Oreochromis niloticus: one gene and its partner. The protein of the gene in region 2 purifies or fractionates together with the protein of the main gene of each other region. This does not show direct contact. Links are inferred from orthologs where the notes say so. Each region holds a gene or a part of one and is shown on either strand. Other genes may lie near its edges.

Region 1 (13,106 bases), on a different chromosome or scaffold from region 2:
CCCATTTTTTCACAAATGTTTGTAAAGGCAGACTTCACGGCTACGTGCATGATTTCAGAGACCCGTGGCATTGGGATGGAGACACCTGCGCTCAAAGATTAAGAAGTCCACAAGTATAGTTTAGCTGCGCAAGCTGATGAATGTCCTCTTTTTTTATCACAAGGAAACAGGACCTGGACAGTCGCCTCCGCTCCAAAGTCGGTGGCCTCCTCAGTGCTGCAAAAGCACTGAGGAGGCACTAAGTTACTGATAAGCAAATAATTAACTTGAGTTCGAGCTGCCGTAACTAATTATCAGTGTGGATGTTTAACTTTTCCATCCCCACACTAACTGAATTTAACATCTAGTTACAGAAGGGTATCAGGAGAATTCAGCTGAGGAGCCACAGTGACTCTAAGGTCTATCTGCTGGTACCAGATACTTCACGGTGTTTAGCAAACAAATAGTAAATAAATTCTTTATTGTAAGTACAGATCTCTCCTCAGGGTGTGTTTTACATCAAGGTGGTAGTTGGCTTGTGGATTACTTCTGCTGTGTTCAAAGACGACATTGTTCACCTCCATTTGAATATCATCAATCTTAATTTTCCTGTAAGAGCACAAACAAATAACAGTTTAGCTTATAAGAAACTTATAAGAAAACTACCATGATGATGGGGTAAAGTTAGATAGTGTTTATACCTGTTTTGGGCTTTGCGCAAAGCATTTGTCAGAGCGTTCACATACACAGAGCTATGTTCCTCTTCTTCCAGCTGACGCTCATCTGTCCAGCAGTGACTCCAGAACACATCTGCATCCATAGGAATAGCTGCTGTGACAGCCCCATCACAGCCATCTGTCTCGAGGTGCTCATCATCTAGGTTCATCCTGGGGCGCGGGGACAACTTAGGTACGTTGTATCTCTGGATGAAGAAAAGTTTGGGCTTGCCCGCCAACGACGGGCATCTATTAGCATTGAAAAGACGCCTGACTTCGTTGATAGAAAATCCATATCCAGTCGAATCTGTGCCCAAAAGTTGACTTTCTGTGCCACGGCTAATGATGCAGCACACAAAGCTATCATTTCTGAGTTTCTCCATCTTATTGAGAATCATATTGAGAGCTGAAAACACCTCATCAGAACTCAGATACTGGTGGACATCCACGCTGAAGTGAAGAGCCTTAAATGTTTGTTCCAATTTTTCTGAAGGAGTGAGCAAAGATGAAACGAGAATTTAAGCATCACCTTGACAATAATTTAAAAAGACAAATGTAGCTTTACATTTTTTAAACACAGATCAGTGGCAACCAAAACTACTGAAAGTGTAAGGGAACATTTATGATCTGAATACAATGATTAAAATGCACATTTTGACAGCAAAAACTTGCAACATGCAAAAAGTACCCCTGTTAGGCAGTTATATGCAGCTGTAAAGCACTTTTAATTACATTTGAGCTTCTGTCCTACACTGTTTGTTCTTGAATTACACTAAATTTATGTTTCAGCTGTAGTTACATCAGACTTTTTATAATTATACTGCTACAATAAAACACACACGTTAAGCTTATAAAATATAACACATTGCTCTTTCTTTTAGAAGCTCACACCCTTTGAATTTTCCCTGCCTTCTAAAATAGCTACATTTTAACAACTGTCAAGAAACCACAAATAAGTAAAATGAGCTTCCCTCTTCACGAAAGCTGCAGACATAAAAGAAATTCCCAAAGAAATACAATCTGAGTAGCACAACAGTTTTCTTTTTCTTCTCTCATTAAGAATTTTTCTAGGATGGGGCTGGTCCCTCGTTTGGAAACTACCCAATAATACATCGAATACAGATAAACCTATAACTGTAAAATCCTGTGTACACAATGATGCATCAGCTTTAAAACCTATTACAGTATGTGGTGATCATCCATTTATTTTTCTCCCCCAGCAGGATTATAGATGCACAACTATACCTCTAATTAAGGATTTCTACACTGTGATTTTGGTACTTCTGTTTAAGTAGAAAAGTACAAAGTGCTTTGTGTCTCACCTCCATCATTACCCACGCAGTCTATGATCACACAGTGTCCTCTGGGATTAGTGTTAAATTTATAGCAATCTGGCCCACTCTGAAATTCAAATGAGAAAGTGGGGAAATGTTGTAAATACAATTGAGTCATTCAACAGTTGAAAATATAATCAAATACTCAGAGAGGGAGGGGAATCCTCACCTCAGAGCGCGGCTGTACGCAGGCACCTAGTCGTGGGCTCACTTCTACTGCAAACAAAGAGTGTTATGGTTTAGCAGAAGAAGAAAGTAAACACCAGGGCCAACAGGGGGTTTCCAGCTGTAAAGCCCCTGTGAGACTAGATATCTGTCAATATGTGTCTCATGGGGATGAAAAGGTATTTTGATTACAAATATAGTCTTAGGCTACACATCTGTGGTATTTTGCTAGTCTTACCCATGCAGCGTTCTTGTGTAACATGCTGTAGAGGAAAAGAAAGAGGAGATATTTTTATGGCTTTAGTGGAGAAAACATTATGGGAAATGTGAACTAACATCTGTAAAGTGTCTCACTCACAGAAATTCTACGGGGTTGCTGCAGAGACAAATTTCGCTGCTGTTCAGGTGCCCTAGCTGTAAAAGACAGGCAAATATACATACATAATGTCTCTGTGTTTGCTGTTCTATTGTTGTCCTTGTTTAAAGAAAAAATATCCTATTACATTTGAAACATACCAACACATTAAATAAACAGCATTAAATTAGTACTGAAAATTGTATCTACCCTAAAGGGAAAGGTCTCAATGAATCCATGTGATGTCTTAAGTACGATTACCCTGAACTTCACTTTATAGTGGACTAAATAAGCAAGGCGGGCTCATGGTTGCAGGGGTTAAATAAAACTGAAATGCATTTTGATGTCATTTTTTTATGATCATAATCTTTTAACTTTTGCTTCAAAGTTGCTGAACATCATGACAGAGCACAGCCACAAAAAAAGTCCATCCATCCATTCATTTTCTTAGCTGTTTATCCAGTTTAGGGTCTCAGGTGCCAGTCCCAGGTGAACAAGGGCCAAAGGTAGGCTAAATTCAGGACAGGTTGTCACAAACTGAAAAATGTGTTTACCTTTAATACTGAGTTTTTGGTAAGGAAAATGTAATAAACTTCCAATTCTTTGCTTACTACACTCACCAGCCACATTATTAGGTACATCTTGCTAATACTGGGTAGAATGCCTTTTTGCCTTCAGAACTGCCTCCATTCTTCTCAACGGCATAAATTCAACAAGGTGCTGGAAACATTCCTCAGAGATTTTGGTCCATGTCAGCTTGATAGCGTCACGCATTTGCTGCTAAACATCAATGTGGAAAATCTCCCGTTCCACCACATCCCAGAGGTGCTCTATCAGATTGCGATCTGGTGACTGTGGGGGCCATTTGCAGTGAACTCATCGTCATGTTTCAAGAAACCAGGATGAGACGATGCGAGCTTTGTCATGTGGCGCGTTATCCTGTTGGAAGCAGCCATCAGAAGATGGGCACACTGAGATCATAAAGGGATGGACATGATCAGCAACAATACTCAGGTAGACTGTAGTGCTAAACAATACTAAGGGGGGCAATAAAATATCTCCCACACCATTACACCACCAACAACAACAGTGTGAATCATTAACGCAAAGCAGAATGGATCCAAATCTATGCTTTTTTCGTTGTTTAAGCCAAATTCTGACCCTACCATCTGAACCATCAGAAAGTGAAACTCGGCAGACCCAACCACATTTTTCTGATCGTCTGACGTCCAGTTTTGGTGAACCCATGGAAATCACCTGGTGTGGTCTGCTGCTGTTGCCCATCTCCTTCAAGCTTCAACGTGTTGCGCATTCAGAGATGCTCATCTGGGTACCTTGGTTGTAACGAGTAGTTATTTGGGTTACTGTTGCCTTCCTATCAGCTTGAAGCAGTCTGACCCTTATCCTCTGACCTCTGACATCAACATGGCATTTTCGCCCACTGGATAAGTTCTTGTTTTTGTACCATTTTCTGTAAACCCTAGAGATGGTGACGTGGGAAAATCCAAGTAGATCAGCAGTTTCTGAAATACTGAGATAGATATTTGCATTAATTGTGAGTGATTGTGAGTATCAATAGTTTCGGGTATGCTATACTGACGAGGAACATAAAACTTAAACCAGTTCTGTGTAACTAGTAGGGAAGTGTTTCCCACTTCTCACTGCAAAACTGTTACAAACCTTTCTCATGGAGATACTATTTTAAGCCCTTCAGTATATAAAGGGAAAAGGGAAACACAGAAACACAGTCTAACCTGAATTCTTGTAAGTGGTCAGTTTTTTGACTAGATCAATCCTGCCAATGTTTCTCAAGCACTCCTCTACGACGTCAAGTCTTTCTGGTGAGACTGAATCCAGCTTTTCAAGTTCAACAATAATATCCAGGAAACTCTGTAACACAAAGGGGGGGGGTCCCATCATTGACTGCAGCATGGTTTGTTACGGTAATAATAAATCCCCACCCACATACATTTCAGAATGAGTGAAAACAAAATCATGCCTCATTCATTCTGGGGTTTTTTGTGTGTTTTCTTACCTTTGTCTTCTCAAGCTTTTCACGAGATAATTTGCAAGTTAACAGGAATTTAATACTGTCCAAATCTCCGGTGTCCAGCTCCTCACTTAATTCTGCCATCAATACTCTGCATTAAGTGGAACAAACACTGTTAACTTCAATTCTTCAAATCTTTAGGATTAATCAGCTCATCTTAAAGGATGTCTTACCTGAAACTTGGGACCATTTGTCTGGTCCTCTCCAAGTCATCCCTGCTGACTTTACACACCTTCCTTAGGATATCCAAACGCCCCAAACAAAACATGAGCTGTGCCAGAAACAGGTGAGCGTTTTGATGGTGCGTCACTTTTGATCTGAGCATCTCCTTCATACAAGCCACACTGTGGTCCGTGTCCAAGCTTTCACATAGATAGAAGAGCCTACTGCGTTCATTGCTGCTGAGAGCTTCCGCGATTTCATTTATAGCATGTAGCTGAAATTGTTCCGGAACAGCCATGTGGAATTTGGTAAAACTTTAAGAGGTGATGAGTCCAGAATAAAGAATTGTAGTCAAAGCCTGTGGGTCACAATAATCGCCATGTTAAGATCCACAAAAAGTCGTGAAAATATAATAACCCATCACTAATAGACGAAATTATAGAGAGAACTTACCGAAAAGAGTCCTGCAACAAACACGTAGCAAAGCAGAAGAAGGGAAACTATAGAAGTGACGCACCACTTAAAAACCCGAGGGAGGGGATTTACCAAATACTTCCCAACGTAAAATGAAACCAGCGAGGATCCGCTTAACAAAGAAAACTTAACCGGATGAATACCATATAAGTTCTGTCCTTTTACAAAAACTGCGCAATGGCACAACCGAAAGGGAAAGCAAAGAAAAATGGCAGCCGATAGACCACACCCACAAATGAAGTCATGGCACAAGCACGAGCGGTGAAGAGCCTCACCTCCAGGACCTTCCAAGAAAATATACTGTCTGCAGATTTTTTTAAAAAGCACTGAAAAATATGGAATAATCAAGACACTAATATGGTTCATAAAGAACCCAGGTCATCAGTTACAAAATTAGATCTAAATGCGGTGAGGGTGTTTTCAGTTAAGGTTGACTTCTGCGAAAAGTTTACAGTCTAACTTATGACAATTGTCAGCTGCAACCTTCCACACGCCACTCAATCGTTGTCGGCTGCATCGACCCCAACGTAGGGTTACATGTCTTGGGAGGTGCACCTCATGTTAATTAGAAGGTTGCTGCGAAGGGTTAAAGGAAATTTCGAGGTTACGTTGTAAGTTATGATGCAGATTTCCTGCGGAAGTCTAAATCAGGCATAACTGTGGTGCTGAGGTCAGTTACATCTCTGTCTAATCCAAAAACAGACTCAAAACCTTGTTTTTTCTCACAGGCCTAAATTTAACTGTGTAAAATGTGTAAAATGTAACTGTGTTTAACTCTCTGTAAAGTGTTTTTTGCTTCTATGTTAAGCATTTTGATTTTTACATAGAATTAAATGTGCTATATAAATGAATTTGTCAATGCAATAGATTCTTTTTATTTTTGTTTTATTGTTTGTTTGTTTGTTTGTTTGTTTTTACCAGAGAGAAAATAATTTTCTCATACAAGTTGGAAAAAAGATAAATGTATCACTTAAGTGGATCATAATTTGCAATAACCTGACTTTTTCCCTCAGCAAAGAATCTTTTTGCCCATCATGTATAAAACCAGCTACAGTATATTTTCTTTTAAAAAGAGCGGGGCTTTGTAGTTTGAACACCTATGACTGCATTTTACACAACAAAGTGACATTAGTTCATTCTTTGGATTTTGTGTTTATCATGCTGTGTCATGCTGGGATAGTCGTGTGCTGAGAGATTTGAGCCTCACGTTAAACGCTGAACCACTAAAGATGATAATCCTGCTTCTCTGCCTGTAAGATCTCTCGAGGTTCAACCAGAAGCCTCACTAAACTCTGTGAAAATAAAGTCTTTAGAAACAGCTTCCTGTCCAACACCTTTCACCCACTGAGTGTTGCAGCAAGGGGTAGGTGGACCCTCTCCTCTTCGGTCATACTGTGGAACAAAACAGTCATGCTTGCCCTGTTGCACAGAAGCAAATCTATGTCAGAGGCAAATCTGCTGTAATAAGTCCCTTTATTATTCATACATCATCTGGTACAATTATGTTTAAATTGTAACAATTTAAACTTAATTTAATGTAATCTAAATGATTCTTTATTAAAAATTAAACAGCAAAGCTCTGAATATTTGTTTAAGTTATGTATTTGCTATGCTGGTTTTATTACATTTATCAAGCTGTTTTTGTTCTGATTTCACAATAGTCTTACCTTCTCTAGATATATGCTTTGTCATGCTGTATTGTTTTACTGAGCTGCATACCATTCAGCTATTTAAGATATCACATCTCATATGTTTGTTGGGTTTAAGTTTTAACTGCTGTAACAACGGGATAATAAAGTCTTATCTTAATCTTTTTATCTTTTCTTTCTTAAACAGATTCAGTGGCTTATAATGGGTTTCAGACTGTGGAGGGATAATCATACATATTTTTAAAATTATTTTAACAGCTATTTGTGGCAATATGAGCGTGTTAAACCATTGCAACTTTTCCAATGGACTTGAACGCACCACTGCTACTCCCCCTGCAGGCCGCCGGAGATTTATCAAAGCTCACTGAGTTCCGCTCAGCCTGGCCAATCGTGTCTCGCTGTGCCTCAGCACCATCATTGCAGTGTGGAGAGATCATACGGAGGTACTGCTGGCGGAGAGAGGGACCATTTGAAGAAGGGAAGATACACGACCCGGGTGACCGCTCTGACCAAACACCGTTCCCGGTTCCCCAAAACAGCCACTGTGTAGCATCACTATAACCAGCTTCAGTCTGAGTGAGTATTTAATTTACTATTACAAGAGGAAGGATTTTCCAGGTAGTCGCAGACCGGGGCTGCTGCTGCTGCTGCTGCTGCTGCTGAGTTGGAACATCACAGCACAGTTGTTGTGTTGATGTGGATGTAAACCCGCGGCAAGGAGGCTTCAACGTCTGCGGGGTGTCTTTTAGGAAAAGGACCACACAGCAGATTGCTCTGGGCTGGAGCCAGGCTGGCAGCAGTCAGCCGCCCCGGCCTGGTCACGACTGATGGAAAAACGAGGATGTCCAACAGCTGCTGACTGTAACAGGCGTGCTAACGGCATTCGAGCCGAGCTAAGGTAGCTAACGTTGGCGTACAGGTTCAGGCTTCGTGGCAGTGTCGGAGCAACCGTTTGCTAGCAGTTAACTACCTGGCTAACATAGCTGCGTGACCGTTAGGACTGCACGATGTCTTCAGTGTTTAAGGTTAAACAGTGATTGTGTTGTGACATTACACCACCAACTACATGTATCCACCGCAATTTATACAAACACGTAGCTGAATTTGACAATACGTTGCAGCACATTTTTAACAAACGGTTTTATTTTGAAATTGATGTAAAAAACAAAAAAACAAGCGGAAGTCCCAGGTTTAAAACTCTCGACTGCATTTATAACTTTTTTTTAGTCGGATTCATTGCTTCAGAGTAAATAACCCATGTGTAGAAACACACTAGAATGGCCAGTCTGTTTGTGTGTGTGTGTTTTAAGCCCTTATACCATAATAACTTTAAACTTGCAGCAGCTTCAAGGTGATTTCAGGTCCCGTCATAGATGCATTCCTATAGTTTTATGCTGGAATGGCTTAGGTATGAACAAATAACTTAAACAATGCTGTGCTAATTCACCTAATGCATGCCTCTGCTGCTCGATCAATTAATCAGTCAATAAGTTAATCAAACTTTATTGATATACCATCATTCGTGGAGGTTAGGGCTGTTCAAGCTGCTTAATAGATGACTGATAAGCTGATCATGAGGAACAATTACTGAAACTAAAGTAAGGCTGGATTAAAAAAAAAGAAAAGGAAAAACAAACAAACAAAAATAATACTTAATAAACTGTACTTGGACCGAGCTTTGTATCACTCCAGATAAGTAGTTTCTAAATTGGGTGCTGAGGTCTATTTGTTTGCTTTGAGCCAAGTGCCTTGGGATTGCGTGTCAACCAAGCAGTATTAGTGTAACTGCACTTACATTAAATAATAACATTTAAATATGCTTTATTAATACACATTAAATGACTATCATTGAGGTGTGTGTGTGTGGGGGGGGGGGGTCCTGATTGATAGTGGGATAACTAATGCAATCCACTTGAAAACCCATAAAACCTGCTTTAAAACACCACAGGTTATGAATTGGAGGTGGTGGAGGTTTTTCAAAGTGATCATCAAGCTAAGCCTGTTTGCATCTTTCTTTTTACATTCCTTCTTCCATACTGACATTTTGCTGTGGCTCAACACAGCAAACAATAAATTAAAAGGATACTGCTTGGAGTGATATTGGTCTAGGCTGATAAGCCACCATTACACTAATGGCATAATGAGCAAAGGTGTGGAGCTCAAGATCTAGATAATTCCAAGCCATCTGCTGCTCATCCTCAGCCTTCATCCTCCTCTCTCCTCCTCCTCCCTTGCTGTATTTCCACCACCATGTGTTTTGGGACTAGGCTATCATCAGAGCTGCGGCCTATTTTAGACAGAAACTCCAGTTACCCACTTAATCTGTGTCTCATTTCTCCAGGAGTTGGGTTTCATGTGCTGCTCAGTGAAGTAAATGGTAACCTTGTCGGTGACTTTGGATCATATTGTGAAGCTGGTGGATTTGCTCGATGAAGGATTGTGTGCTCATAAAACTATTGGCTGATGGTTTAAGGACTGTTATGACCTTTGTATTAATATAGTGTATGTGAGATTTGACAGCACAATGGTTCCACCTCTGCACCGAATGCGAGTAAACTGAGACATCTTTGAGCCAAAACAAGTTTTGCCATACCGGTATTGAGCCCAGTAGTGTGTTGCCTCCTTCCCACCCACCAACAGTGATGCACACGCTTAGGGGATCAAAGCTGTAATTAGCCTGCCATGGATTAGCAATGGGGACTATTTTCCATTGTACTCACCCACAGCGCCAGAGGATCACACAGGCAGGCAGCCCCCTGCCCTTCCTTTCCTTCCAGCAGAGAAGAGCTGCATCACCATGTTTGTTGTTGTCCCTATGAGTCCACAAGCAGACAAGAAACCTCACAATTCCTCCCTGTAGAGTCTGAATATGTGGGGATTTCAGATTAGAGCATTTTCTTTTTGTTGGCTATTATTTAACATTTAAATTGGTTTCTGTGCATACTTTAAAGTCTTCAGAGGAGTCAGTTTTATCATGTTGCGTGCGGTCTTGAGTCAGCTGGATATGTGGTTGGCATGCAGAGAGAGCCGCGGGGCGGCTGATTCACTGCGCTGCCAGGTATGAGCTCTGTCTGTGTGTTGGCTGTCTCCATGATGTACAGTGTATCTCTCCGACATGAGTTCATGAGAGGCCGAGAAGCATGATGTTTGTGCTGAACTACTCCTACAGCTACCAGTATTCGTAGGGATCCACTGATGTATAATCACGGCCCCGTGTTTCACATCGGTTTTGTGATGCCTAAATGTTCACTGATGTGAACTTTACAGTTAATCTTAATGAAGGCTTCTTTGTTTCTTTTGTACAAAAGAGGAAATAAATTACACAGAGACAACAAAATTAACAAAATTTTAACATTGGCATCAGCACAGAATTTAACCGTCATGCATATAGCGCTTAACAATATTTTTTTACCTGCAGATTATTTACTTAGTCGTTAAAATATAAGAGAATATTGTAAATGTGTGTTAAAGTTATTAATGACCAATAAATCTTACAATATGTGATTAAAAACACTGCAAAACATTCCTTGACATGTATTAGGAACTTTCATCTATATGAACCTAATCGTTGCTGTAATGTTCAAAATAGTGTTTTTTCTGTTACAAATAAAGCAGAAAGTAATAGCATCTGTATAGCCAACATATATCGTTGCACTGTTAAACATTGTCGCATGATCACAGCTTTTTGTCGTATCGTGAAAGCCAAACTGTAGTTTTGAACATCTTAAAGTGTATTCAGAAGGTGAGCAAATATCCAGAACATATATTTTATATATTTGATCTAAATGGATACATAGTGTATGGGTTTACACACTCGCCTAACAAGCAAAAGATCCCTGGTTATGTCCTGGGAGTAGATATGAATCACTTAAAAAGGCCATAAATCAGGAAGGGTATCTGATGTAAAAATCAAAATATGCGGAGCTATCCAGTGTGATATCATATCCACTAATATCTGCTAATATGATAAATTTTTTATTAAGGTAGTTGTTGAGTCATTTTCTGTCAATTAATTCATTGACTTATTGAGAAATTAATGCTTGTTTATGCTTAAGTCACACAGGTATCAAGACCATTCAGTGACGTATCCCTCAACCCTGGGTCACTAGGAAAAATGTTTTAGGCACCACACTGTATGCCACTTTGCAACCAATTTCACCCAATGACTGCCATAAATCACATGCGATTCAATCAGAGAACACATTTTTCCCTAGGGGTTCACAGACTGGTCTCTAGGCCTGTGTTATGGAGGCTGTAGTTTTTTTTTACTTATGAATTGCATCTTAAAAAAGCAGGCATCACTTCTATATCGTCAGTTGTACAAAAGTGTATGAGAAAATACCCAACGCCTTTAAAACACACATACAGTTGACATATGTAGGAACTGTTAAACATACTGTTTGCACAGAGCATTTAATAAACAGTGCTTGTGGGCACTGCATCAAATATGAGACGAAAGGAGAACACATCGCTGTACCAGCTCTTTATTAAACACCTAAGTCAAACCTTTCTGATATGATGTGACAGACGTTTACATGTGCTTGCAGCGGAAACATTTAAAGCTGTCCCTGTTTATATTTAGGTGGTGATTGCTGGCAGTATTTGCGTTTTTGTTTGCTGAGTCTGTGTGAATGTTTTGATTGTGTAAGATTAACTGTACTATCCCCTAAGGGAAGTTGCCTGTTCCCATGTGAGACAATAACAGGCTTTATCTTCGTTCTTTTGTACAGTAAGACTGGTTACTAGTGTGTCACAAGCTTTCACCTGCTTTAGTGCATTTCTGTCACTGACTGCTATGTTTGCATACCTCTGTTGATAAAGTTGTGCCGTTAGATCAGTTAAATTTTAAGCCGCCGCTTTACTCAGGCACAGTGAATAGGTAATTACCAGCAGGTATTTATCAACCATGCTCAAACCTATCTTATACACTGTTAATGGCAAATTGAGAAAACAAACAAGGCTTTTAGTGCATAATGAAAGTTGTATTTTTCCTACTTTAAAAATTGACATTGACATTAAATGGCAAACTGAAGAGTAGAAATGTTGCTAATGGCTCAGTCACACTAGAATTAAAATAGGACCGCAACCTCCTCCTTGTGCACATTTAGTGACCGATTCAAAGCACTTGCAGCAGCCAATTGATCTCTAACAGACTGAGCATGCAACACCTTCAACCTCGATTGCTTTTAAGGTAATTGCAAAGGTCGCTTAGTGGGAGGCAACCTGTCTCCAGAGAATCCTAGCCCAACTCATACTAACTGCAGTCACTCACAGATGGATTGGCAAATGTTTGTAAATAATTGTCTGGTTTAACAGACAGGTTGCTAGCTCGTTGCAGTTGATCTCCGTCTGCTCCAGTGAGCATAACTCATCTGCAACGTTTCTTTGCAATAGAAGACTTGACGCAACTGGTTGCCAGCTGGTTGTTGTCTTGTTATAGTCATATATAAAAGCAAGGTTAAGACACAGTGCCTGCGTCTTTTTGCAGTTAAATCATTGTCCTGCAGCAGCTATCTCATTATTGTGGAGGAATTTTTGAATTTCTGTTTCACATCTGTGAGGTTATGGCTAGACTCTGAATTAAAGTAGTTAACGTGAATTTGCATGTTCTCCTTCTCCCTGTGTGGGTTCTCTCCAAGTACTCCGGCTTCCTCCCACAGTCCAGAGATATGACTACATGTTAGGTTAATTGGTGATTGTGACTTGTCAAAAGGTGTGATTGTAAGTGTGAATGGTTGTTTTTGTCTCTGTGTTAGCCCTTCAACAGACTGGCGAGCTATCCAGGGTGTAGCCTGCCTCTCGCCCTGTGACAGCTGGGATAGGCTCTGCCATGACCCTGAATTGGATAAGTGGAAGAAGATGGATGGATGGAATGACCAGTGAGAGTCAAAGTTGGAAGCAATAGGATACGTCTTAACTCTTTTTCATGATATGCTGCACTGCCTCCATGTGGGTGCAGCTGTAGCTGTGGAGAGAGAGAACCCATCAGGATAGCAGTGGGAGTAGCAAAGCAATATTGTCTAAAGATTTTTTTCCTAGGCAATTCTGTGGCAAGGTTTAACTAAATAGGTTTGACAGGTCGCTAATAGATGACGACAAAGTCACTAATTAGAAACAATTAGGTGACCTGAAGGTGATCATTGCTTCTGAGAGGTGAGAGAGATGTCATGTACCCAATCCAGAAGTTGAAAACACAATATTTACACAACAACACAATATCCA
Region 2 (12,776 bases):
GCCCTTTACCATATTCACTACTTAACAAGCCACAATAACTGATCTCTTGTTCATTGTGTTATTGTAGCATTCAGATACACGTTACTTACATAATTACATGTGCGATTTTGACATTTAATCAATTAATAAACATGCCTTTAAAAAAAAAGTAAAACATGTATCATAGTTAAAAAACTTAACTTTACTCCATTTACCACAAAGAATCTCAGTGAGCAGTCAGATTTATGATGATTCAACTACTTCTGATTTTTTTTTTTCAATTTATTCAAATTAAGTGACTAATTTTCCTAGCTCAGTAGTTCTGTGGTTGGTTTCAATATGACTACAAAACAAAAAAAAAAACAAATAAAAAAAACCCCGAAAACAAAAAAATGGGGTTAAGAGTTCAAGGTAACCGCTTCACTGTCTCGTATGTTTTAAACATATTTCTGAAGGAATAATGTATTACAGTGGTGACCAAACCGGCCAAAAGATCATATGACAATTTTTGGGGGGATAGAATCACAATTCTCCCCACAGATTTAGCTGAACTCATGAGATCACATGATTAGCTGTGCATAGGGCTGCCTTACTAAAAAGCTTGTCACTTTGGCTCAAGGCTTAAGAGGACAAAGCTCCAGCTAGACTTGGAGCACAACATGGCATGTTTCGCCTTGTTGTTGTATATGGTGCAAATGTTGCTGGAGTGTTGACCTCTTAAGGCTTTTTCCATCTGCTCAATTAACTTTGGAAGGAGTAAAATGTGTGCCAGAGAACTACTTTTGCTTTAGCTTCAGGCTTATTTTTGGCTCTGATTACTGTCTGAATATTCTGACTGGAAGTGGAGGTCTCTGCATGTAGCTTGTTGCCTATTCTTTGTCCGTCAGTTGCCCTGCGATGCACCTCTACTGCGTCTAGAGCGCTGTCCTTACTGTGTGACGAGTTGCACTTTTGTTTAGTTCATGCAGAAGAACTTGAAAAGTGCTTTTATTAAGTAATGGCGATAAACTCAAAAACATGTGATCTACCAGATCAAGATGTGAGATTGTGTAATTTATGATGTTTGGTGTTACTCTGTCATCACGTAGTCATTTAAGAACTGAAATACTGATTTCTTTTGTAATGTCATGAGTATATAATTGATAATTATCACTCAAAATATGTTTATTGTGATTTCATTTCCTAATTTAAGATCAAACTTCATGTATACTCTGTCCTAAATTAAACGTTATTTAATATGTTTTACATGTTACAATAAGGGGTTCTGGGTCTTAATGAAACGGTTTTGTACTGTACAGTTCAAATCCCCCAGGACTGACCTTGACATGACAGTAAACGCTTTGTGCTTTACAGATAAATCCTGGCATTCCCTGGAGAAAGGGGGTTGATCATGCACAACTTTCCTTGAGTGATAAATTACGCTGACATTTTGGGTTAGATTATGAAGACAAGTACAGCCCAGCTTCTGTCAGGAGAAATAAGTCTGACACTCGCTGCATGGCTGTAAATAAATTCAAAGTTCAGCCAAGCTCGCACACATTCATCATTATAAAGCTGAATGATAGAAAATGAAGAGAATGGCTCCCGTGTCAGTGCAGTACAGTTAAGAACAAGAAGGCGCTAACAGTTTCAAAACCACATTGTTAGGCCGCATACGCAATGCACGCACACACACACATAATATAGCACACAAGCACACATACAGTGCATGTGTGGGGAGCGTGTGAAAAGCGGCTGCCCCCTCCTCTCAGGGAGCACAGGAAGCTCGAGACAATACAGAGGCTTCATGCAGGGTTCAGCTCCAAACTGTTCCCTGCACAGCAGCCTGCCTTAGAGCAGGCCCAGCACCCGATTAGACCCACAGCATATCCGCTAGGCTGGATATTTATAACTCAGGGAAGCTGCAGCTCCATAGCACGAATTCTTGAGTTTCCTCAGGAGGTGCGCTCCACTGATTAGATGAGGGTGACAGTGTGTCACAAGCAGGTTTGGTGACATTTACCAGGGGGAAAAAAGAAAAAAAAAGAAAAAGAGAAAGAACGATGATCCGCGATGACGACAGCTGTATTGAATTTCCTGAGAGACTCTTGACCACAAGTTGTCGAAATTACTGATACCCTGACGTTGATGTTTACCGCAAAAAATGTTTCACTCATCAAAACAATGCAGCCAAAGTGGGTTGCTGAAAGTTCAAAAGGTTCCACACAGTTGTAAGCAGGTGCAGCGTGACACTTTTGTAGTTTTTCGTTCGAATTATTTTTGTTACGAGGTCGAGGTGGTCTCGGTTGGCTGTAAAGGTTGACTGCTCGTACGTGTACGCCACGTCATTGTGACTCATACAGAACGTTATGGACATCCAATTTGAATGTCAATCCACAAATCATATTTGTGTGCTGCCGGGCTATTAACTTGGCCTTTTCAGATTGTGATTAGGCCTGTCACAGGGAAGCTAAGCGGTGAATCACAAGACAACTCCTGCAGGGAGGGAATAAAAAAAAAGAGCAAAGAAAGGATGACTAACAGATTTAAGAATGAGCAGGAATCCATCACCTCGCTTTAAAGACAATCACATTAGCTTCACTAAAGCTCATCTTTGTGTAAAAGGGAGGGGGGCAGTTTGAAGTGCTGGCAGTTTATAGAGTTCTCTATAAACACACCGCTGCAAAAAATGTAGAATATGTGACTGGTGTAGCAGGTCAACAAGGACTTAAGTGACCATCAGTGGCTGGAATTTGCACCAGATTTATGCCTTTGTAAACAGACTTCCATTTTCTAGACAAAGGTTGAGCTTGTTCCGAGACTCAACACTTTTATTATAATCTGCTCATTCATTCCAGGAGAGCAGGAAATCAGAAGATATAGCACCGCTGCAAAACCTTTTTCTGATCTGGCTTCATAGTACGTCAGGTTTGGAAGGTGCCTTTAGGCCACGACTGTACTTTTGACTAAGTTAATCGATTATTATCGACTATTAAGGAAAGGAAATCATGGAATAATTCAATAATCAAAAGGAATGCTGTCAGCTGATATCAACCTTGATATTGGCATATCGGCAAACAAGATCAAAATCAGCGATGTCATCATTGATCTGCTGTGTGACATCACTTCGCCCTGGCTAAATGCTCAAAGGCGTTGAAATGAAAAGATGACCGACATTAAATACACAGCAAATTTTGAAGTAAAGAAATAGCAACAGAAACATAGTAAACAAACAGAAATAAAAATATGAGTTGGATCAGTCGGGATTTTCTTTAAAAATAAATAAATAATTTTACTCGTGAATTTCTATGAAATTCAAAAATAATTACAGTGTAAAATATTTTAACATGAGACCAACAGTGGCACTATTAAAAAACAGAATCGCGCACAATGATTCTTTATACTCGGTGGAAGCCGAAAATTCAAAATAAAAGTAATAAAAGCAATTTTCGAGCTTTAGTTAAACCAGTACAAAACCAAAAGGAATCACTGATCAGTAATACCAAACTGTCCGTCACGCCACAAAAGATAGGATCAGGGACCATGTGGAGCTTTGTGTAAAAAGTGACTGAAACAAGCAATAAAACAGTGGAGGAGTAACTGCATGACTGAATTATCTATAATCAAAATTCCAAATTTGTGTTAGCAACATTTGGAGAGAGACACATCACAGTGCTGTTTTTACTTCATGATGTTCTTGTATATATGAACAGTTACTTATGTGCCATGTGCTCATACAACACACTCTACTCTTTTAGCTATTTTAAGCCATGTTCTCACTTGAACTCCAGACAGTTATTAGAATCGGATGAGGACATTGCCCACACTTGCCTTTTCTAATATGCAGCAGGACATAGCTTTTTCCAGGGTTATCCTTACTAATGAAACACTGTGTTTTGTTTTGACTGCCTTCGTAGATGACACAAGTTATCCATAATAAAACGTTGTCTCTGTGCATTCATTGGACCATTACATGTGCTATTCTCAAATAGGCATAACTAAACATAACTTGGATATGGTGGCAAATAGCAGCCTGTCCCTGAGCCTAGTTCTGCTGGAGGTTTCGTCCTGTTAAAAAAAAAGTTTTTCCTTCCCACTGTCACCAAGTGCGTGCTCGTGGGGGGGGGGGGTCGTCTGATTGCTGGGTTTTTCTCTGTATTATCTTAGGGTCTATTGTAGGGATCTGTGGTCGTGATTTCTTGCTATATAAATAAAAATTAACTGTTTTAATGGGCACCTATATCAGGTAACGTCTAGAAACAGGCTTCTATGTCCACAACAATCCTTCGTAGCACTTTCTGACATGGAAAAGAGTGCCTTCCAGTAAAGATTACCTTTTAGCACTCACAGTGTGACGCAGGGTTAGGAGCCAACATATCAGAATGAAACTAGATGAGGTTATTCTGTTTATCTTGATAGTCGGGATGTTTGACGTGGAGTAAATTATCTCCACTTATTTCAGTTCGGGACCATTCAGATGTGAGCGGTGACTCGCCTGTGTTGGTATGCATTACGTGGGTAGGCAGCACCTGAACAGGTGGCACTCCCTCCATGAGTCAGCGAGCCCTTTGATAAGAGTAGGGTGATTCACCTTGGCAACTACAGGTCCACACAGGATAATCAATTGGCTAACAATAAAACATCCTGGGCTCTCTGAAGAGCCCACATAAAAAGGCACAGACACCACCTGGTATCAGACACTGAGTTACGCTGCATTGCATCATTCGGCCTCTCTACAGCTTCTCTAAGCCACAGGCATGGTTATAACTGTTCACATGGTCACCGAGCAGAGCGGCAATAAGCAGTGGCTACAGTATTAGGAACACTAGCGTTGCCGACCACTGCTTGTCCCCAGTGTCATAGTTTGGCCTCCGCTTGTCCCAGATGTCTGTCCTGCCCTTGTCTGTGTAGTCCACAGAGACGGAGAGGACTATTTCCTGTGTGAACCAACACCCAGACACACAGTAAACAATCACAGATAAAAATCTAGTGTACATTTGCATGGGCATGACAATTCTAAGAAGTAAATTGATGCCACTAATATCAGCAAATCTGTATACTCAAGACAGGAAGTTTACTGGACGGCCAGGCACGTACACTCGGGCAATTTGGAGGGGTGCATGTGTGTGTGTGTGTGTGTGTAGGGGGGGGATTAGAGAGGTGGGGAGGAGGAGATGGGGAGGGGCTGAAGTTTCCTCATAGTCCCTTAGCAACAAGGCCTGCTGGCGAGGCCTCCAGAATGTACTGTGGTTTACAAAAGAGATAAACATTGACTTTGCCACCCGGAGAAGTAAATCGGATTTCAGTAATGGAACACTGCATGACTTAAAACGCAGATCAGACAACGGGGAAAACAAACACTGGAGCTCCAGGCCCATCAGAAGATATTACATTTACTTTTAAACAGCTCCATTTACAGTGAGCAGAGCCACAGTGGGCATGTGTGATGAAATGCCACTGACAAACGCCACTACCCTCATCAGCCAAACAAGCTGCCAACGCTTGATTTGTTCCGTCATTAGGAACTCATATCATTTTCCACATCTTATCTCGTGTAGCGTTATCCTGGTGTAATCCAGTAAACTCTGTGTGAGAAAGGAAATAGATCTCCTCTAATTCAAATGCGTATTTTGCATTAATCAAAGTACTTTTAATGCACGACAAAGGCTTCCAGTCTGCTCACAGTGCTTGTAGTATGCGCGGCACAGTTGGAAAAAACAACAGGGGAGGAATGAAAAGACATCTCTGTGAAGGTCTGAGTGGAATAAACTTCAAGAGAGAAATAGCTGAGAGTTGTTATGGACTAACTGGCAAGGTGAATTCTTAGCTTTCTGATTACACATTCAGTCATGCTTCTCACATTCTACACAATTTGATTTAAAGCTCGTTTGAGGCAGGAGGCCCACGGCCGCACAGTTCTCATTAATAGCGGCTAGAGGGCCAGCTACATCCGCTGTGACAGACCGAGAGCCGTCATATGCTGAATGTCTGAGGAGTGTGACCGCATGATGTCCAACACAGATGGTGGCTGTAGTGTTGGAAGAGAGAGGGGGGCGAGTGAGTGAATGATACAGCACATGCACTGAAGAGAGCAAAGACACAAAAACCAGAGTATTTCTGCATTTTCTCCAGAAATAAACACTTTAATCATTAACAACAATAAACACAGTGTTGCTTCCTGTGTCTGGGACAATGCACGGACTTGTTTCATCTTCAAGTTCACAGGCCTGGACGTGATTTCAGCTTCCACGACACTCTTATCTTTGCCCGCTCTTCGCTTTAACTTAATGAGACAGAAGCCTTTTTTAAAATATATACTTTTAGATTATAAACCTTTAGATTATCCGAGCGGCAGCTTGAATTAAGAGGCTACTTTGGTAAATGATTTTTATAGAAGCTATCAAGTTAGGAGCGTTAATGAATCAACAATCCACGGGACACACGCAAATAGAGTGGTACACATTCAACAAAGAGCGTATTTAGAAAGCAAGTGTCGTGTTTACTTACATGAAGTTTTCCGACCACCGGATCGAAGTTCATCTCGGGAACTTCGCGTTGAGAGACAATCCCAGAGAGCTGGAAAGTCGCTTTACAAAACCCAAACTACTCTAAAGTCTTTAAAAAACCCCACACATACAGCGAAAAACAAAACAGTGACACGAGTTCGACCTACGCTCGCTCCTTCGTCCGGTTTCTTTCATGAGTTTAACTCTTTTTTTTTTTTCTTTTAGTGTTCAAACTTTACGGATTTTTCCTGAGAGAGGAGAAACAGACACGGTCTGAGCACCAGCGAGGAGCTTTTTCTTTTTTTCATGCTTCGAGCACTTCGCGTGACGTCAGGCTGCGAGCCAATCACAACCCGTTCCCTAGAATAATAATGAAGGAGGAAATTGCGAAGCTTTGCAAAGCAAAGTAAAACAGCAACATTTTAACACATTTCACTGCATTAATCGCTGAAGACCGTGTGTTGTGACTGGGTGACGTGTGTAACACTGTTTCATGCAAGCAGAGGGGGTTTCTTAGAAGTCTGCAAATCATCACGCCACGAGACTTTGATCAGCGTGTAGTGGTAACACACTCCAGCTACATTAACCTGAGTATGTAATGTGTAACTTACTAGTAACAACCGGCTAATGTGCAACAAGTTGGAACTCAAGTGAACAAATGAGTGATCCCAAAGTGTGACACCCTCCATGCAGAGCACTGAAGTGGACTCGCTCTTACTTCTGATGATACCTAATAAACCTAAAGTTTAACGGTTGTTTACAAAAAGATCAGATGCATTGTCACAAGGAAATTTTACTAGTAATTAGTTATTTGCAGATCATAATAGGATAGGGACTCAACGCTTGGAAAAGTTATGGAACGCTGAAGAAAACATCTGGTGGAAATTTTTTTCAACTAATTAGTAAAATGACTGGGAATAAAAAGAGCATACCACAGAGGATGAATCTTTGAGAAGTAAAGCTCGGGAGGGGTTAACCAAAAGACTTTGCTAGCAAATAGTTTATTCTTACTCACCTCTTTTTGCCATGTGTGCATACACCACTTTGCATTTAATTGTTAGTAAACTCTTGATGTCTTTCATAGTGTGTCTTTAATCCTGCACACGCAGCCCCCCACCAGCCTGGTTCTTCCTGTTAAAAGGGAGTTTTTCCTTCCCACTGTTGCCAACTGCTTGGTTACGGGGGTCATCTGATTGTTGCTTTATACCTTACAATATAAAGCACTTTGAGGTGACTGTTGTTTGGCTGCTATGTAAATAAAATCAAAAATTGTATTGAGCTGAAATAGTTTTGTAGCAATTTATGTCATGTAAAGTCAACCATAAGATTTAGAGAATGAAAAGAAATCCTTGTATGCGACGGAAAAGGCTGAAAAACAGACCTGCATAGCTCTGGATGACTCTGCAGTAGAAAGCACTGCATGGGCTCAGGAACAGTGGTGGAAATGAACAAATGCTGCGTCCAAGAATGCAAATTAGAGAAATAACATACATTAAGTTAGCTCAAGAAGACCTGGAACCTTCTCTAAGCATCGTATTTTAAGTAGGCTTGAAGTGGAAAACTGTCCTGTGGACTGTGAAAATTTGAAATAGTTTTTAGATATCCTGGACACTGCTTCCTCTGGACCATCAGGGTTTTTTTTAATCAGCTTGCAGTTTAAAAGCAAGCATCTGTGAGGCAGTAAGGAAATATAGGCAAAGATAAGGTTTACATTTGTAAAGAAAACTTTAATACAGAATGATACATAAAGGTTTTGTAGCAGCATATGCTATTATCCATCATCTTTCTCAAAGACGGCTTGCTCATTTCAGCTAGACAATACCAAAGCATGATGGACGGGACTCAAAGAACCCTGCTGCCCTCCTGAGAACATTTGGCACGTAATAAAATAAAGATGATCGTAGCGGTCTCAAAAACAGCAGCACGAGCAATCATAGAATAAGTGAAGTACACAAAATACTTTTTTTTTTCAGAACTATGTCAATAGGTCCTGAGTTCCTACATGCTCCCAGAGAACTGTTAAAAGAAAGTTTGATGGAAGAAAATGTGAACCATCAACATGTGTGACTTTGACGTGTTCAACTGAAACTCAAATCCATATGAGGATATGGAGTAATATATTATGGAAACAGGGATTTAATACAATGAGGAGAAAAGAAACCCAAACAGTTCTGCAGTTTATGCAGAAAGTTAGCTACTATTTAATGACAACATAACATTTTTCCACCATTTAGACTACATCACAACAATAAACATCCTCTCAAATGTGGTTCCTGCTGACAACATCTTATCTGGAATGGGGCTGTGGTCTAAAGCCTCATGTCTAGGGAGCGGGAGGGGGGGAAGCAGAAGATATCGAGGCGTACCTACATTAGACCTTGCCGGGGTAATTTGCAACACATACAAATAAAGAAACAGAGCCAAACAACTAGTATAAATAAATCACATGCCCTCCACTCACTTAGACAGGCGTGTGACGAAAGAAAGATTGGGCAAGTTCTAGACACATTTAAAGTAAATGCTGTCTGGCGTGTGTCTCACTTCTCATTCACCAGCGGACAGACAGATTGCTGTGTTTTGAAACATTACAGTGACTAATTAAATGTCTTGTGACCAACGGCACAGTAGTGAATTTTACAGGAAAGTGGGGAGCAGAGAGGAGAGTTTTGGTTTAACCCCCCCCTCCAGAAAAGCTTGGGTAAATTAACTGCTGATTAAAAACTGAGTGATCTGGTCACAGATGAGTTCTCATGCCTGGCAGAACATCTGAGAAAAAAATACCGAATTCACAGTCCTCTCCCAGCTGTGTTGTTTATTCACAGGAAGCTGCTGAAAAGTGGTGAGACTTAAAGCTCCAAATGGAAGCATATTTCACTGTGTATAGACAGAAACATTAAATAAACACGAACTATCAAATAAACCATGTAGTTTTCTCTAGAAGTTGATCAGACTTGAAACTCAATCACCGTAACAGGAACAAACAGCATAACACTCATCCAGTTGTCCAACAGATGCAACTTATCTGCTCCTCCAAAGTTCAACATGTGTTTCAATTAAAACTGTCTAGGAAATCTCTATCTGTATCTTCCACTTGGAGCACATCCTGTGCTCCTCCTTCTGAGGTCACAGGCTACGTGCTGAAAAACAGGAAGTGTGTGATTGAGTTATTTGCAAGCTTATCCTGAGCGAGTCTGTATTAATGGCTGCTGGGTTGATTAGTTCACATAGCCAACTTGTGGAAAAACAACAATCTTTACAGCTTTTCCAATTTGTCATCTTGAATTTAAGGGAGAATCTTTGACCTCCTCAGAAAGGGATCTTTGCTGGATAAAAAGATGTGCAGTTGAGGGATCATTTGCATAGCCTGTGTGGGAGTAGTGTGATATAACACTTCTGTTTTTACAGTACCGCATAAAAGTCTTGAGCTACCCTTCATTTCTTTATATTTTGCTATAGGAAAATTGGAAATGGGTGGAGCAGGTAAAACATCTACAAACATACATAGACATACAGGATATAAAGAAAAAAAAACATTTGTACGAGTCTAATGAGCTTAAAAGTCAGTATTTGATATGACCACCTTTATTTTTCAACACAGCCTTTAATTGGTCTTCAGAAATAGGTGTGTTGGAAACAATCAATCAGATGCTTTCCAGATGATATTACATGGTAGATTAAAATTTGACTGTATTTTCAGCTTTCATAATTGCATCAATTTTGACAAAATCCTGAAATGCAGTCCAAACCATGACAGAGCCTCCACCGTGTAACAGATGGCTGCAGACACCCACTGTTGTTGCTCTCTCCTGATCTCCTCTGTACATATTGATATTGATTTCAACCAAAAATTTCAACATTTTTCTTCCTGTTTCCCTTCCTTAAGAATACCTTCTTGGCTGCCATCCTTTCCATTGAGACCCTTTCTGATAAGGCTTTGGTAGATGGATCAGGTGAAGTGCATCCTCAGATTTTTTGAGGACACACTGCATATCATGCCAAGGCAAGTTTTTGGCTAATAGCGTTTTGAGAATCACATAAATGCTATTTTATTTGATGTCTAATAAACTATTTATTCTTTGGTATTTTTTTTTTTTAGATTCAGCCAAAGAAATGAAAGCAACTGATGTGCTTTTGTAACAAAGTGCCTAAAAATACAATTACAGTTGTTTCTTTGCTAAGTTGTCTGTTGTGTGTACATACAACACTGATTCATCCCTTGAGTTATGTCTTTTTAAATGCTTGAATGACTCATAGGTCAGTGTTAAGTGCCTTAACAAAAAAAACCAAAAAAAAAACCAACTCTGAAAATGGTCATGTACAAAGACTCGGTGAGTCAGTGTCCAAAATAAAACTTTGTAAGACCTTCAAACCCAGGGACCGCTTTAAAAATGAGGAAATTACAGAAAATCTAACTTTTTGGAAGCAAAATATAAAGAAGTGAGGGATGCACTGTGCACTGTATTGTATATCTATAGGTGTATGTATGCAACAGATGAGGTTTGTTTTTTTTTCTTTTTAAGAGAAGTGACCTACGGGTGAAAAAAACGAAAAAAATAAATAAAGGGAAGGGAAACCTTCCTGAGCGTCAGTGACTTATCGTGTGACGCCGGCTGTGCATTGTTTCACTTGTTGTTTATGAGGGATGAGCAAAAAAAAAAAAAAAGTGACAAGGAGCTGAAATAGAGGATGTAAGCCTTGTGAAGATGACTGAGATCAGATTATTTGTAAAGCAACAGAAGAGCTGTTATGTCACTGCAGCATGACTGTTGCCGTGTCCTGTAATTGTTTCTGATTTGATTTTGTTATAAACTTAAAAGAAAAAAATGCATAGCAGCGACTTCTGGATCCAGAACTGTCTAAAAATTCGATCCACATTCTTCGGAGAGCAGAGACACGCGGCCTTGCATCACTTCAACATTCTTATTTGTTATACTGCATATTAGAACATCAAACTTGGTTTAATCATTTAATGATGGACTTTAACCCCTGACGCCTGCTATATAGATTGAATTAAGACAAATAAAGCGTTAATATTTGTAAGAGAGGCTAGCATTATTAAGGACTGCACTCTAAACATACAGTGGTGTTCTTTAAGAGCTTTCAGCATGAACAGCAACAGCCAGAGGGTGGTTACTGTGTTCAATCAAAGCCGAAAGTTTGTACTGTGAATGTTGTGTTTATGTTCCCATCATCTGTGTGGAGGATTGGAAAATGAACTTCATCTATTACAGTCCTCCTTCTCATTACAGATACAGCAGTGGAGAAGAAATGCATTCACACCAATGGTGTTATGTATTCAAAACACTTTAAGAAACGAACCTGCTGTATAGCAGCTATAATATAAGAAAACCTACCAGGATTACTTTTTATATAAAAGGGTTGTTGTGGGGAAAGAACAGTCAACCAAAAGTGTGTTGAAGCAGCATATGGTGCTGTCTAATTGCATTTTAGGGACACATTATGCATGTTTTTTAAACAGCGTGGCTTCGTAGTACCACTCTGACTGCAGTTCTGGATGGTAGCTCATTGAAAATTGGAAAAGAAAAAACAGGACATCTAGTTTGGGCATCCTCGTGAATTCAGACACTCAACAAATCAACTTGACTTACTATTAGTCAATGATTTTGCGATAAGACGGCTAAACTATTTGCCACTTCAGCATTGCTCGAGTCACACCGGACGAGTCAGGAGTAATCGAGCTAGATCGGGGCGTAAATTAGGGTAAATCAAAGCCAATGCCTACCTCTTTGCCAAGTTTAATGGCAATCGACCTGGTAGTTTTCACCTAATCCTAGTTACAGACTGGAAAACAGGTAAAGAAAACCGACTGATTGCATGATTAAGGCAGAAGCTCGGCTGGTGATAAAACTGGTAGAAATAAACAGTTTATGTATCAAGAAATCAGCTGATTTATTAGTGCTGTTCCCAAGTCATCCAAAAAAATCAGTTGTTGCAAATTTGATTTAGATGAAAGCAGTGTGCTTTAAAAAGATTCAAGGTTTTTTCCCCCACCCATAAATGCTGGGCAATGGATATTTAGGCATATTTCAATGTCCAGCACAAGCATTCTTGAATGTGAGGGTTTTTTTGTTGTTGTTGTTGCAAAAAGTAGGGGTAGGGAAAAAGTTTCACCTTAAGAAACTACAGACAAAATGTGTGTAGGCCTTGACTCTAACACTCACACTGACAATGTGAACTTTGCAGGGAATATAGCACATCGTAGACCCACAATATATGGATGAAAGTACTGGGCCACCACTAATTTTTGAATTTGGGTGTTTTCAGTCTCATTGCCACAGATGCATGCTGCCC

Evidence for each region.
Region 1: the proteins of tnfrsfa (region 2) and cflara purify together in Homo sapiens (affinity purification with western blotting; 5 studies listed by BioGRID and IntAct, with this or other methods). This does not show direct contact. The link is inferred for Oreochromis niloticus from reciprocal best matches to the Homo sapiens genes TNFRSF10A and CFLAR.

The regions. Positions count from the first base shown.
Region 1 is NC_031987.2:13,977,594-13,990,699, forward strand, and holds the start of cflara (CASP8 and FADD-like apoptosis regulator a), read right to left. Parts: upstream 5,455-13,106; 5' UTR 5,215-5,454; intron 5,120-5,214; 5' UTR 5,060-5,119; coding exon 4,773-5,059; intron 4,691-4,772; coding exon 4,585-4,690; intron 4,440-4,584; coding exon 4,304-4,439; intron 2,609-4,303; coding exon 2,553-2,608; intron 2,458-2,552; coding exon 2,433-2,457; intron 2,246-2,432; coding exon 2,199-2,245; intron 2,097-2,198; coding exon 2,018-2,096; intron 1,183-2,017; coding exon 681-1,182; intron 589-680; coding exon 459-588; 3' UTR 1-458. UniProt on the Homo sapiens protein: Apoptosis regulator protein which may function as a crucial link between cell survival and cell death pathways in mammalian cells. Acts as an inhibitor of TNFRSF6 mediated apoptosis.
Region 2 is NC_031972.2:13,492,600-13,505,375, forward strand, and holds the start of tnfrsfa (tumor necrosis factor receptor superfamily, member a), read right to left. Parts: upstream 6,776-12,776; 5' UTR 6,499-6,775; coding exon 6,466-6,498; intron 1-6,465. UniProt on the Homo sapiens protein: Receptor for the cytotoxic ligand TNFSF10/TRAIL. The adapter molecule FADD recruits caspase-8 to the activated receptor.